Diceros bicornis minor: one gene and its partner. The protein of the gene in region 1 binds, or shares a complex with, the protein of each later gene. Links are inferred from orthologs where the notes say so. Each region holds a gene or a part of one and is shown in the gene's direction. Other genes may lie near its edges.

Region 1 (7,926 bases):
CAACAACAGTTTTTATTAAACATTCTGGATTGTTCTTTTCTGTGAAAACTTTTATATCAATTGTAAAAAGGTAAGATATAATTTAACAGGCATTTCTTGGGGAGTAAGCTAATGTAGCAATCTTTCTTGATATCTAAGTTAACAAAATCAGGGTTGATTTAGATGCAAGTCAAGGTTTGAGAGAACTGGCCTATCTTTAACCATCAGCTGTTGTAAGTGGACTATTCAGAGGCTAGTAGTCAATTCAAAACATTATTCAGTAAAGAGGTTAACTAGCATTTTTCTCCCCAACAGGAGAATTCCAGCTTAGGCCAATGAAGGGCAAGTGTTACCTCAGTCACCTCAAACCTTATAAGAGCTTAATCAACTCAATCACTGATTCTCTGAAACAGATTTTGAAGAATCTTATTCTCTTGCTAGAGAAGAGTATTCTCTATCACACGTTATAATGTATATTTGCTATAAATATAACTATGCTTACTTTAAAATTAATCCTCAGGAAACTGACTGAATAGTCCATTAGGTGATGCTGAATATATTCTCCATTTGACCAGTGGAGCATTAGTTCAAAATAAGGATCTTTGTTTTGCCATAACTACCGTTCAGTGGTTTTTTGCCATAAAGATACAGCGGTTTCTCCTCACTCCTGAGATTGTTCCCGAATCTTGAAAGTAAATTCATGTCACTAGCAAAGACTCAGATAATGATCTTCCTATTTGCTGTTATTGTATTAAGCATCTACCAAGTACACCTAAAAGCAATACCAGACTACTTAACTGGAAGTGGAAAAGGAAGCAGGGCAATGACAAAGCCCTATTATACGCCTTTTGATAACAAGCCATTCAAAAGCAGATAACAAATGCCACTCATTCTTTTCATAAATGTGAAATCTTGCCAACTTTTAAATAGCAAGTTAGAATTCATGCCTACTTCATAAGATTTTGTTTCTACTACATCAAGAGTTGACAGATCAATAAATGCTATGAAAAACCTCATAATCTTGGTTGTTTTTTAAGGATGAAACAGTATAACTACATACACTAATAAAATGAGTAAGTAAAAAGTACGTTTTCTCATGCAAGAAGTTGAGAAGAACGTAGACAAGTTTTCAAGGGATATCTAGCAAACTAATTTGTGTGCAATTTGAAGACAAACGTTTTCCTTTGTGCAAAATCAGTCAGACAATACTTTGTATCATCATGAGGGCATTAGCCTTGAAGAGGTAGTCTACACAGTTTAGTTAAGACTGGGGGAAGGGGTGACATGCAAGATAGGATCTCAAACTTTTTTTCCCCAATTTAGAGCAATCAATCAAATAATTATAGCAAATAGGAGTAAAATATGCCAGACAGGTAAAGTTCTGAACTCTTCTAAATCATTTTGGCGGAGAAATAAATACAAGATAAACAACCCTTCAATTTTTCACTAGAAACCTGTAAACTACAGCATGCTACAGTCTACAGAAAGTCTGACTCTTTCCTAGTCATCGTTAACCTGTGCAAGTATGCCTAATGCTTTTCAAATTTTTTTTTTACAAAAGAAGTTGCTTTTAAACAGATTTGAACTTAAATTTCTCCTAAGGTCTACTTAAGATGTTATCTTCGCCAAGTCTGTGAGAAAGTGTGTTTGTTTTTAATTCCTGGGAAGAGGCGTGGGGAGACTATTCCAGAAGGTAATTAGAAAACGTTAAATATTCTCTGGGTCTTAGTCACCCACAGTTGTATTCAAACTGTATTCCTAGTGTGTGTGGTATACCCACTCACACATCACATGCCATACATACATAAAAACAAAATCTAATAAAATTTACCACACACAGTAAGGTCTTTCAAGGTCTTTTCATTAGAAAGGTCTGCAAGATCAAGACTGAATCAAAAGCACAAGGGAATATATTAAGTATTTTATCTAAAATTTTGTAGAGTTTAAATACGATCTGGAAAAACAAAAGTGAGCTCAAAATCAAATCAAGTGACAATTAAGTCCATACCTAATAGCCCAGAGTCTACATCAGCTTCTTTCTTCAAATTCTCAGCATGTAATTCTGTAAATACAAAAAGGTGCTTGGGTAAAAAAGATGATTTTATAATTTGAAAAGTAGCTTAAAGGCTGGGAAGACACTGTAGAGTTGTGGAGAGTGCTTTGGAGTCAGCAACAACCAAGTTCAAATTCTGCTTCCATTTACCAGCTATGTGACCTCCAGTGAGCAAATAAGACATCTATATGAGTCAACTGCCAGGTATATAAAACAGGAATGTTTACTTCCTAATGTTGCTGTGAAGACATTTTTTCTTTTTTGCTGAGGAAGATTGGCCCTGAGCTAACATCTGTTGCCAATCTTTCTGTTTTTTTGCTTGAGAAAGAGTAAACCCTGAGCTAACATCTGTGCCAATCTTCCTCCACTTCATATGTGGGTCGCCACCATAGCACGGCTGACAAGTGGTGTAGGTCTGCACCTGGGATCTGAACCCCTGAATCTGGGCCACTGAAGTGGAACACGCCAAACTTAACCACTATGCCACCAGGCTGGCCCTTGTGAAGACATTTTATGTCATGCAAACTACAGCAGATACTAGGTTTTGAGTTCAGTTCCTTTCTCCATTCTCCAAAATAAGCAAGAATCCATGTCTTCTGCAATGGACTTCCACATACGAGGTTTTGTGACTTTATGATATAAAAGCAATCTCTCAGAGCAAAAGAGAAACTACCTATAAGATGAAACTCTTCTCAGAGGTGCAGTGAAAAAAAGAGGGGAGGGGACTGATAGGAATGAAACACTGGCACCCAAATATTTAACATTGACAGTTTACACCCAATACCCTTTTATGAAAAGGTACAACTTGCACATTAACTTGCCAATCTGACTTCTGCATGAAAACCAAGCATTACCAAGCTGTTAGAAGCCTTCTGCAGCCCACTAGCAGCTTGGAAACAATGAGGAAAAATAAAAACCAGAGCTAAACAGACTACTGAATAGTGAAGTAAGAGTAATACTTCAGTGACAACGCGTTGGGTGCTTTTCACACAACAAACTAAGGTAGTTTTTTTTGTTTGAATTTTTCTTTTTCAATAACTTGGCCAAAATCACATACGAGTGACAAATGAGATTTAAACTCATGTGTGATTCTTTCTACAGTAATATAAAATACCCAACCATACAATCCTTCTGTATAAGCTTTGGAAAACCTTTCAAGGCACATCTTTTCAGACACAGGAAAATAAAACTATTAATCAGAGAAAGAACAGACTACAGCTCCCACAATAGAGCTTTACCACTACACTAGGATGGGAACCCAAAATCGAGAGGGGCTAATTATTTTACCTATAAAAATAGAAACTTGGGCTGAATGGAAATCCTTGTCCTCCAGGAATTCTGTGTGTACATGGGAATCAGACGATAGCACATCTTTAATCATCTGTCCGTTAAAATCTTTGAACATGTATAGCCTATTTTAATTATCTACACACTTTTCACCATCTCTTTTTAATGATGGTTATTCTCCTTAATTTTGCCAGTATTTCATCTCAAGTGTTCGCCGACTTGAAGATACTGTTTCTTCAAGAGTACCCATTTAACTAAGACTTTCTTACAATAGGTCTCCTGATGATGTACCAGGGCCTTCCACCTTTAAGAAAAGAGAAAGCAAACGGGGAAGAGCCAAGAAAAGTGCTGATGAATACTTTAGGTGAAAGCGACTACCACCTCACCGGTCTTTGATGGGGAGGGGGGTGATGAAGGCGAGAGCCACGTCCAGGCTCAACTTTACTCTGGACAGCCTTTCAAGGCCGTAACTACAATACCTTTTACGATCAGGTAGGTGATGGCCAGGAGGAAGGCGAGGAGGATGGCGAACAGCAGCGAACACAGAATTGAGAGGACCTGGACCGGCCACCGCCGAGCCTGGGCTCGGCCGCCCGCCACCGCCGAGAAGATGCCATTGCGCTTATCGGGCAGCACCGGGGACCCATCCCCGTCCGGCGGGAGCAGCGAGCCCCTTCTAGGCTCCGACGACGCCCCGGCCGAGAACTCCGCCCGCAAGTCGCGGGCCACTTGGTCGCATCCCTCCTCCTCGTCGACCTGACCCTCACCCCAACCGTCCCCCTGAGAGAACGCGGAAAACGCCGGCCGAGCGACTGGGAAAGGAGTGCCCAGCCGGCGGCGCAGGGGAACCGAGGTCCTCCCGCTCTCTAAAAACGACATGGCGGGAAAGACGATACGGCGCGCGGAGGCCGAGCGTCTCCCATCCGCCCCGCCCCGCGCTCGCACAGCCAATCAACGGCCGGGGCCCCCCACGGCCTCCACCACCCTGCCCTGGCGCGCAGGGGTGCGCAAGGGTGCGCGGTAGGGCGGGGAAGGTGCCGTGAGGCCCGAAGAGAGACAGGGCGCCCCTGGGCCAGAGCTCGACCCCTTGGCAGTAGGAGGGAAGGAGAGCAGGAAAGCGCGCAGGGAGAGGCGAGCCGAGGCCCAAGACAGCCGAGTCTCCTCTCCCTGCAGTGCTTCGTCCCGGCCAAAGACCTTCGCCACCGCCGCGTCACCTCCAGGCAAGCGCGCGTCCCGCCAGCCCCAAAGCCGCATCTTCCCGACGCCCGGTCCTAGCGCCTGCCCGTGCACCTGTGATTCACATTCCCAAACCTATTTGCTTTCTCCCTTCTTCCCGGCTACGCTCGCACTCTTTTCCGCGTTCCCTACTTAACGGCAGCTCACCGCCCGGCGCTCTCGCCTCGCCTTAACTGCCCACCCCACTTTCCCCTTCGCCTTGTCCTCCCCACCCCTGCCACAACTTCCCTCCACGCAGCTCGACACGCCTCCTGCTCCCGCTCCGCCCCGGCGCGCGCTCTCCGGCTGGTGCGTACGGAGCTCGAACCCTCACCTCGCAACCCCTCCTCTCTCGCCCTCCCCGCCCCCTCCCCTTCGCCTCGAGCACCGCACGCGCGCATCCGGCCACCGCTAACGCTAGAAGCTGCTTATCCTACCCCCACCCCACCCGACCCTACCCCTGGCGGCCTCAGGTTTGTGGGTCGTACGTAACTTGGGCGGGGGGTGAAGGTGGCAGGCCCCACGGCCCCACCCCATACGGGGTGAGGCAGTCTAAGCTCGGGAAGCTGGGACACGGTTATCTTCCCTTCCCGGGGGGAAGTTGGTGGAGTTTTCCCGGCAGAGGACTCGGCGCAGAAACTTCCTCCGTCCCCTTCCCCCCCCCTCCATGCAGGCGACGCCGAGTGAGGCTGAGGCTGGGGGCGAATCGCCGCAGAGCTGCGTGTCGGCAGCTCACTCTGATTGGACAGCGGGGAAGCCTGTCAGCTTATTGGCCCCGCTGATCCCGCCCCGTAGCGCGGGGCAGCCTTTAACCTTTGGCCCCAGCGGGCGCCAGCCACTCAGATCGCTTCTTGTTGGTATGTGTAGCGGCAGTGGCCGCCGGCGGAGCAGTCTGAGCCCGACGATGAGGCCGGGGACGGGAGCCGAGCGTGGAGGCCTCATGGTGAGTGAAATGGAGAGCCATCCTCCCTCGCGGGGTCCCGGGGACGGGGAGCGGAGATTGTCCGGCTCAAGCCTCTGCTCCAGCTCTTGGGTCTCTGCTGACGGCTTCCTGAGGAGACGGCCCTCGGTAAGGGATCGGTGGGGCAGGGGGAAAGCGGCACAATGAAAAACGGAGTCAGAGAGACAGGAAGCTTTAACCAAAAGGAGAAGAAGATAAGAGTGGACGAAGGAAGAGCTCGCGATGGTGGGATATGTTCCGAGGGAGAGAAATGGAGGGCGGGGATGCACAAAGGGAAGGATGTGGGACCCTGGAAGTTCCTAGCGGGCTTGGCCTAGACAGATGCGCGGTGTAGGTGCTGGGCCCTGGGCGGGTTGAGCGTCTTGGAGAGGTAGGCCCGATTTAACAGGGAGGGGGAGGCGGAGACTTGATTCTGTAGACTTTAAGAGAGGCTGCCAAAATCTGTTTTCACCTGTAGTAGTGGTGTCTGCAGCGGAGGACAGCTGGGGGAATTGGCAGGGGATAATACCTGGTTTTAAGACCTGGAACAATGGACACACGAGTCAAGAAAGTAGTTGTCTTACAAAAGCGCATTGAAATGGGCAAATTAGTTGTTTGCATTTAGTGTCTTTGAATGACAGACCTCAATCTTTGAAAAAAATTTTTTTGGCAAAAGTAATTTTACCTGTGTTAGAGATTCTATTAGGAAATTGTGTTTATTTGTTAGGAGTGAAGTGTCTCTGGATACCCATACTGTTGTGTTTTATAATACCAACTGTCATCTGAGTTAATTTGGTAAATTCAGAGTTTTAAAGCTTAGTAAAAGTTTAGAAATAAGTTTAATATGTAGCGTTGTAAAATAACAGTAGGTGGCTATCTTCTGTCTGTGTGAAATAGGACAGAGTTGTGGTTTTTTACTGTAACAGTTTTTAAATTGGCTTTCACATACATTTCCTCCGAGCTTAGCAAGCAAGTTAGTAACTAAGTCAGTGTGCTTTAAAAATAAAAGCTACGATCTGCTGTCCACTAATGATTTTAATTTTTTCCATTTTGTTCTGGAATTTGGTCAGTTGCAAACCCATTATAAATACTAGTGTAGTGCAGTTTATTTAAGATGAGAAAGTATAAGCTAACCCAATAGTTGAATTACACAGCCTAATGTTATACCACTATACGTAACTGAATTATGGGAATCAGATTTTTGAGAAGCATTTATTGTTATTTGCTAATTTTTAAATTGTCCCTGTTTTTCAGATGGGGCACCCTGGCATGCATTATACCCCAATGGGAATGCACCCTATGGGTCAGAGAGCCAATATGCCTCCTGTACCTCATGGAATGATGCCGCAAATGATGCCCCCTATGGGAGGGCCGCCAATGGGACAAGTAAGAATGTTTTTGTTTTGTTTTGTATTTATTTGTTTATTTTTGCTTGTGGTATTATTGTGTCAAGATTTCAAAATCTGGGTCAATATTTGCAGCTGTTTAAGAATTAGTTTATGCCAGAATAACGTTTTCAAATAAGTCAAATGTTCAATCGTGACACTAACCAAATTTTGAATGTAATGAAAAGTCTTCTGTATAAAAGATTTACTTTCTACTGCAACAAAACTAAGAGGTTTTTTTTTTTTTTTAAGTTAACAGTGTACATCTAGGCTTTTTAGTTTAAAGACTTTCTTTCCCCCAAGTATGTCAATTGATGTTAATGTTCTAAGAGTAAATATTATCTGATAGGTCAACATAATTTATGTCGGTGGACCATGTAAATGCATAGAATCGGAAAATAGTAATTGTTTAGGCATTTGGCTTAGAATGAATTTTATTCCTGAAATAGCTTCCTCTTGTGTGTATGCGCGCGCGAGTGTGGTGGGGGTGGAGGTGGGGAGGTTCTATTCTAATTTGATTCTTCATAGCACAGTGCCAAATAAGTAGTTCATTTTCCACTTACACTATTTTGTTTGTTTTTTTAAATGCTTATTGCTTCTGCACTCCTGCTTTTGAGCTGTCCCTTCCATCTCCAGCATAAATTGTAAACGGACATTTTGTAGGAGTGATTTGGATCAAAAGGTTTTAATGCTGACTCAGTGAATTCAGTAGAACTGAGTTCCTAGAGAAGCATCCAAGAAAGGTAACAGGTTCAGTTACCATGAATAATTTTATATCCCCTGTTAGGGTCTATAATAAGAGTATGCTTTGGTGGCTGAGTTCTTTCCATTTGAGTATCTCAATAAATCATCAAAAATTTAGGCTAACAAAACATTTTGGAAAGCCAGTCAATTAGGTATGATCTTTCTGCTAATTAATACTGTTTACTTTGATAATTGTTTAAGCCTTGATGGTTTAAGTTATTGGTAAAATTGTAGTGGAGAAAGGAGCTTGCTCTGTCTCTCTCTCTACTTAACTTTAAGAGTAGACGGGCTTAATGTCAAGTGGTTTTCTTCCTTATAATATA
Region 2 (7,814 bases), on another chromosome or scaffold:
GCTCTCCAAAGGCGGGACACTGAGCAGACAACCACGGATCTGCTCCCTCCAGTCTCAGCTAGCTGGGTGACACGACCTCTCAATCTTGCCTGCGGCTTGGGGCTTCTGAACTATCAGAGGTAGAGTTACAAGATGAAAACCGCCAGGGATTAGCAGGAAGGGGCTGAAACCTCTCCCCCTTTACATTCCAACACCAATTCTCTGACACCAACTGGATGTCCTACAGTTCAATTTGATTCTGACACCAACCACCCTGAGTCGGCAGACCCCACAGGTTAAGGAATTCAGCCACAAGTCCTGGGTCTTGTCTCCAGGTTACCCACACCTCTGTCCAACTTAGCTACAAATTCGGAGGTTCCCACAACTCCCCTCATGTTCAATAATTCGCCAGAATGAAACACAGAACTCAGGAAAGTGCTATATTATGCTTACCGTTTTAATATAAAGGATACAAATAAACAGCTAGATGAGGAGAGGCAGAGGGCAGCAAGGTCTGAAAGGGTCCTGAGCCCAGGAGCTTCTGTCCCTGTGGAGTCAGGGGACACCACCCTCCTGTCACATCAATATGTTCACCAACCCGGAAGCTCTCCGAATCTCACAGTTCAGAGTTTTTATTGAGGTTTTATTACACAGGCACTGTTGATTAAATCACTGGCCGTGTGACTGAATGCAATCTCCAGCCCCTGAAGTGGGGGGTGGGGCTGAAAGTTGGCTGGTTTTTCTGGTGACCAGCCAGCATCCTGAAGCTGTCACTGGGCCCTCAGAGCTGGCAATGAGTCACCCTGTTAGCTAACCTCAGGTATGGGCCAGAGGAGCTCCTCAGGAAAAATGAAAGACACTCCTATCGCTTAGGAAATCCCAAGGGTTTCTGAAGCTCTGTGCCAGGATCTGCGGACAAAGACCAGACATATATTTTTTATTGTACCGCACCCTTGTATAAGATCAGGAGGCATCTGCATCTGATATCTGTGTGTAATTCTTGCGCCTGCAGCTCAGGAGATGCCCCGTTAAAACCAACGTGCCCTCTCATCTCATTGAATCAGCACAGTACCCTGCAGACTAGCGTTAATATTAGTCTTCTACAGACCAACTGAGGCATGGAGAGATTAAATGCCTTCCCTAGCTGCCAGCTGGAGGATGGCTGGCCCCATAGGACTGCAACTTGCCTCAAAAATGGGAAGTTGGCTCAGTGGTCCTCAGCCAGAGAGCAGCACGGTCTGCATTCCAACCCTGTTCTGTCCACAGAGGAGTCTTGCACCAGCAGACTATCCTGGCAGACTGTGAGACCTTGCCGTGGGTAGTTCAGCTTTTTGTGGCTCAGTTTTCTCATCTATAAATTAGAGAGAATACTCATCTCCAAAAGTTGTGTGGGTGAAATGAGCTACTACGTGTACAAGAACTCAGAACAGAGCCTGGAGCAGCCAACATCCGAACTCTCCAGCCATTAATTTGTCCTTGGAACAGTTACAAAAATTGATCATATATTTAACCACAAAGAAAATCGTACTTTTTTGAAAAAGTAGAGATTTTTAAGGCCATCTTCTGCAAAATCTAACAAAAATAGGAATTAATAATAAAAAGATGACCAAAATATTTTAACTTGGTGATTAAAAAATACTCCCACAAAATCCTGGATAAAAGAGATTAAACTGAAATGACTACAAAGCAGTGACAATGCCTGCCCCCTGAGACAGTCCCAGCTGCAGCCTTCACCATTATTAGTACGGAGGTGTCATTATTAGCATTAACAGTACATTTCTCTTCGTGCATTTGTCTTTCTCCTTTGCTAGACTACGATTCTCTGGAAGGCAGGAACCGAATTTCATTTACGGTGGTAGCCACCAAGCTGGTCTGCACTCAGTAGCTGCTCAAACATTGGATGACTCTTTTCTTCCTGCCTCCATAGAATTTGTCGTATTTACTGAATAAATTAATTTTTCCTTCAAACAGATGATTTAAACATTTTATATTTTTCCTTTCTTGTCTACAATATTAGCTTAATATTTGGTATATAAATAACACTTGCTCAGTGTAAAAAATTAGAATAAATAGAAATGGGCGGAAAAAAAGTAAAAATTATCTGAGATCCCCTTACCATCGGAAATTTGGTGATTGTCCTGTCAATGCATTTCTTTATATCTATACAGTTATATATAATGTTGTTATAAATGGGACCATGTCACACATTTTTAAAAAGTATGAGGCACTTTTTTTTTTTTTTTTTTTGGTAAGGAAGATTGGCCCTGAGCTAACATCTGTGTCAATCTTCTACTTTATACGGGACACTGCCACAGCATGGCTTGACGAGCAGTGTGTATGTCTGTGCCCGGGATCTGAACCCACAAACCCTGAGCCATGGAAGCGGAGCGTGTGAACTTAACCACTACACCACCAGGTAGGCCCCTGAAGCACATTTATAAAATATGTTGGGCTCCTAAACTGTATTGGATAACGTCCAGGCACCCGTTTCCCTCTGCAATGTCTTCACTGATAATGTGCCATGTATCCTTCCACAGCTTTCTCTGCACTCACATAATCCTACGCAAACAAGCATGCACATATATGGGCTTTGTTTCTTCTACAAAAACAAGATCATGTAATACATATTTCTCTGCTTCTTTTCTCATTTAATAATAATACAGCACAGAAGTCCCTCTAGGTCAGTTAGTATGGATTAACTCCTTTTCAAGGTGCCTAATAAGCCAGGTTATGGATATTCCAGTTTGTTTGACCATTCACATATCAATGGAAATTCACTGTTTCCAGGTTTTTGCCATTACAAAGCTGCAGTAAATGCAGGAGACAACCTTGAACACGTTATATTATATAACCACACGCCTTGCCTTAGGGCAGAGTCCCACGAGTGGGACTGCTACATTGAAAAGGTTTTTTTATTTTTCCTGAAAGGGGTACAATTTTAATAGAAACAGAATGCTTTCCAAAAATGTTCACAGTAGTCAGTGTGAGTGCATTTGTTTTTTGCGATTTTGATGGTTATATAGAGTCCTCATTATCACCTAATTTTCCATTTCCCTTCTTGGGGGGTTGGTATCCTTTCATATTTTTTGGCTATTTGCATTTGCTCTTCCGAGACTCGCCTATTCATAGCCTTTGCTCATTTCCTATTGTTTTTGTCTTTTTTCTAATTAGTTTTTAAGACTTCTTTGCATATTATAGATATTAGCTCTTTATTGTACATGTGGCAAGCATATTTCCCTGATATATTACTGTCCGTTGGCTTTTATCACAGTTTTAGTTTCTTTGGTAATCAAGTATATCTCTTCCTTATAGTTTGGATTTCCTGTGTTGGGGTTCAGGACAGGCCACCCCAAAATATACCACTTTGGCATATTGATTATTTTGAATTGTTACTTAAGAGGCAGCCAGTGCCAAGAAGGACATGCTGACCTTCCTTTGCCCCCTGAAAGTAGGAAATAAATCTCCCATGTGAAATGTACCCTCCCTGTACCAGGAGGTAGAGAGACATCCTTATCACTAGAGATAGAGAATTAAGGGCAGAGAAGGCTATATAAACAAACCTTGTTACTTCTTTACTAATTTACTACCCCAAGCCCAGACTTCTTTGTCTTGTTAATTCTTCACAGATTTACTGTTTCTTTGTCTAAAAGGTATAACAGCTGTGCACTTTGGACACTTCTTTGGGTATCATATTCTCCCACCTTACATAATTATAATTGTTTTTCTCCTGTTAATGTGTCCTGTTAACTTGATCAGATCAGCCAGACAACCAAGAAGGGTAGAAGAAAAATTTTTCCTTCCCTACACTTGTCTTCATAAAGTCTCTACCCCTAGATGACCCCGATAGTCTCCTAAATTGTATTCCACGTCTGTTTTATTTAGATTTAGGACTGTTACCATTTACCAACTGAATCTTTTCCTTACTGAACTGAAACACCATCTTTGTGGTATTCCTACATATATACGGGGAATCTATTTCCGTCCTCTATTCAGTTGTGCTAATCTTTCCTGCATCACATTGTTTGTTTACTGCGTCTTTTATTCTGCATTATCCAGAAAGGCAAGCTCCTCCTCAACTGTGTGTACAAGTTTCTCCACGACTTTCATAGTTATTATTTTATATGATTTTGAGATGATTTAACCTCAACCTCGATAAGATTTTAATGGAAATACATTGTGAACTAATCTTGGAATTGACACTTTATATTGTTTTCCGCCTAAGATTACGCGTTCTTCCATCGGCTCAGATATCGTTTTTAATCCTTCAATAAGACTATAGGTTTTTTCCTTCAGTTCTTATCCTTTTCAAAGAAAACAGGAAGTCCCTTTTACCTGCGGCGTCAACGGACCCGCTTCACGGGCGCGCGCCAGCCCCTCCCCCCTCGCCGGTTCCGGGTTACCATGGCAATCGAGGATTGACGTCACTTGGCGCTTCCGTGCCGGACCGGGGGTCGACCGTGAAGCTAGGGGCGGAGAGGCGGTGCTGACCCAACTACGCATGCGCGCTCCGACTCGACTCCTCCCCCGCCCTAAATCTCGTTCGGCCAGGGCTTTTCCGCCGCGACCTCTCGCTTAATCCCAGCGAAAGTGCTCCCCGGGGGAGGGGTGTAGAAAAAGGATCCAACCAGCGACAGCCAATCCCATGACACTACGACGCAACTGAGCATGGTTGACTCTATCCACTGCAGCCAATGAGAGCGCGCTTGGTCCCGACGTCACAGAGTTTGCCCGCCCTCTCCCCTCCTTTCTGGCCTCCGAGCTTAGTCCGCGCAGTAACAAATGAAGTGCGCGCTGCGACACCTCCCCGCTGGCCGGGCTCGGCCGCCATTTCCTCGCCTGGCCTAACGGTCCGGCCAATCCCAGGGTGCAGCGAGGAGGACTAAGGCTCCGCCAATCGGAGGGCGCCGACTCCGACCCCCTCGCCTCGGCCCGGCCCAATCCAGGCCCCGGCCCCGCCGCCCCCGGCCCGCCCCCGCGGCGCCCTCTCTCCTCCCTCTTTGTGCGTCTCGCGCCGCCGCCGCCGCCCGCCGCGTGAGAGGACGGACTCCGCGCGCTCCGCGGCAGCGCAGTCGGGTCTCCTCCCCCCGGAAGATTCGCGAAGGAGCCGCCGAGAAGGAGCCGCCGGTGCCGGTCCCTGGGGGCGCCATGGCGACCGGAGCGAACGCCACGCCGCTGGGTAAGCTGGGCCCCCCCGGCCTCCCTCCCGTCCCCGCGCCCCAAGGGGGCTTCGAGCCGGGGCCCCCGCCTGCCCCCGGGCCTGGGGCGGGGCTGCTGGTGCCCGGGCCGCCGCCGCGCCGGCCCGTGGGCTCGGCGGGGGCCCTGACCGCGGCCTTCCCCTTCGCGGCACTGCCGCCGCCGCCGCCCCCCCCGCCGCCCCAGCAGCCGCCGCCGCCGCCTTCCCCGGGCTCCGCGTACCCGCCGCCGCTCTACCAGCGCGTGTCGCCGCCGCAGCCGCCGCGTCAGAACCAGCAGCCGGGCCCGGCCGGCGGCGGAGGAGGTGAGTCGGGCCGAGAGAGCGCGAGAGGCGTCGCGCGGACGGGCCCGGCCGGCTGAGGGGCGCGCGCGGCGGCGGCGGCGACGGCGGCGGCTGCTGTTGCACGCGGCAGGGGCGCGCGCGCGCACGCACGGGGAGGCCCGGGCGGAGGCGCCACGGGGCGCGCGGCCTGGGGCTCGGGCCACGAGTGCGCACGCGCTCGGGAGGAGGGGGCACAGGGCGGGCGGACGTTTGCTGTGCGCATGCGCAATGTGGCTGCTTAGGCTTTGCGGGCCCGACTAAAAGCGGCGGCGGCGGGGGGGGGACGGGCCTTGTTGCTCTCCAGCCGCTGGTGTAGGGGAGCGGTGTGGAGAGGGTCGAGTGGGTGGACGGGGTGCTGGGGGTGCATGTCAGCAGGGAGTGAAAGGGTCAAGTGATGACGTGGAACATCTCCTTTCTGGCTGTAGAGGAGGCAGAAAAGAAGGAAAGTGTTAAAAATAGTCCGTCTTTTACAGTAAGGCAGGGATTTCAGTGCGGAGAACGAGAGAGGATGGAAGTCTTCAGGGAGTGGTTGGTCCGATCTTTTGTGGCCGTTTTTTAGGGAGGGACTCCTGTGTTTCGTTCTGATCTCCTTTCATTTCCCTTAGACAAGTCTGGTCCGCCTCCTCCTCGTAGTTGCTGGGGCTTTCCTCTCGGGAAGTAGAACGACTTTTGTGCACCAGATGTGTAGGGAGTTTCTGCCTATGTATGGGGGAAGGAGGATTTTGTTACTATTGCATCGCTTGTTCCCTGTTGAACGAGGAGTTCAGACACAAAGTTTCCAAACTGGCCAGGAAAATTGCTTATCTGCGCTAAACTTAAGAAAATAAGTGATGTTATTGAAGAGTGGGGCTTTTTCACTTAGTAACCGTAGGTTTAGTTGTGTTGTGGCCCATTTAGAAAGGTTGCTGGTGGGGAGGTGGAGGTGGGAGGAGCCAGCAGTCTGCCGATGTTGCTTTACGAACTTGCCTGTGGTGATTCAATCTACTCTTGTCTCCCCTGGGGCTTTTAAGGCATGATGTAGCGTATGTCTTCGAAACATTTTATTTCACTATCGGAAATTATGCGATAAGATTTGTTTACATACTTTACAGCGTTTTTCTGGACAAAAATTATAAATGTGAAATGTTAACCTTTTGGACCCAGGTCCAGGTCTGCTTATAGTGGTGTGTGTCTCAGGTTTGACTTGTGTACTTTGCCATTTAAGTTTTAGGTCAAGTTCTCAGTTTCAGAGCCTGCTGAACTTGTAACGTTATAAGTATCCTGAACTACGTGTTGGTAGTTACTGTGTTGATTTATGTTTGTGTCTCATGGTCTGTATCTCCCTTTAGACTTCCCGAGTAAGAAGCGGAAGAGGAGCCGCTGGAACCAGGACACAATGGAACAAAAGACAGTGATTCCAGGAATGCCTACAGTTATCCCCCCTGGACTTACTCGGGAACAAGAAAGAGCTTATATAGGTAAATACACGTTCTGCATCCAGATGCATTTTCGGGTTGTTACTGTTTATTCTGAGCAGTGTTTTTATCTGTTGCAAGCCTGAGATTGTGAAGTTTTCTTTTTTGAGATGAGGTGTGGTCAGGTGTACTTTCTTTGACATAATTCGTCAGTTTTTGCTCAGTGAGTCCTGCACTTGCAGCTCCTTGTTTGGTCTGTTCATAACAGCAGTGTTCTCCATGAGTGCCAGGAAGGTAGAGGGGCCCATTTAGGGTAACACTAGTCCCCAGTCCACAGCCCACCCCATCCTTTTCAGCTGCTGCTCACTGCCAGTTGATGAGGTGAGTGTCTTATGCCTCTCTGGACATGGCCCCAGTGGAGAACACTGCAAGTATTGTAAACCAAGAACCTTTTTCACAGCATGGCCTCTCACCATAATTTCATATTTCTCCCTCCCCCTAAAACGTGATTTTTTACTTTTTATAGGTACTTTCTGAAGGGAAAAAAAAAACCTCAGTTTAATCAAAAAGTGGTTCTGAAAGTGTGTTTACAGTTCACCCCCTTTTACCATTTGGTTGAATCTAACCTTCCCTTCAGCATCTTTTCTGTTTTGGTCTTTGGAGAGCTGTCTTAAAATGAGGGCTCTTGTATTTACTATTAAAGAACTCTGCTGGGAAATGGATACTGCTTGGAAATGGAATGAAGTGGTAGGATAAAAATCTTAACTGTTGGGAAATTTCAGGAATTAAGAATGGCTGTCCACAGTGGAATCCGAAGTTAACCTTAAAATTACCTTTTTTTAAAATACAAGGTTTTTAATGTAAGTTTTACCTTTATTTACGTACCTGTGCAGCTGTCTCAAAAATTCACTTGATAAGCATTTCCT

The links.
Region 2: the proteins of PRPF40A (region 1) and SF1 are in contact, whole or in part, in an NMR structure (PDB 8PXX), measured with the Homo sapiens proteins. The link is inferred for Diceros bicornis minor from reciprocal best matches to the Homo sapiens genes PRPF40A and SF1. Residues at the interface, in NP_001352526.1 of Homo sapiens: His164, Ser166, Tyr172, Tyr174, Ser181, Thr182, Trp183, Tyr213, Tyr215, Ser222, Arg223, Trp224; in NP_004621.2 of Homo sapiens: Pro575, Pro576, Leu577, Pro578, Pro579, Gly580, Ala581, Pro582, Pro586, Pro587, Pro588, Pro589, Pro590.

What each region holds. Positions count from the first base shown.
Region 1 is NC_080749.1:36,490,385-36,498,310, reverse strand, and holds the start of PRPF40A (pre-mRNA-processing factor 40 homolog A), read left to right. Parts: upstream 1-4,917; 5' UTR 4,918-5,201; coding exon 5,202-5,603; intron 5,604-6,728; coding exon 6,729-6,860; intron 6,861-7,926. Other genes in the region: ARL6IP6 (ADP-ribosylation factor-like protein 6-interacting protein 6), read right to left, coding at 1,988-2,041, 3,799-4,198.
Region 2 is NC_080770.1:8,309,405-8,317,218, forward strand, and holds the start of SF1 (splicing factor 1), read left to right. Parts: upstream 1-4,806; 5' UTR 4,807-5,124; coding exon 5,125-5,476; intron 5,477-6,822; coding exon 6,823-6,951; intron 6,952-7,814. UniProt on the Homo sapiens protein: Necessary for the ATP-dependent first step of spliceosome assembly. Binds to the intron branch point sequence (BPS) 5'-UACUAAC-3' of the pre-mRNA. May act as transcription repressor.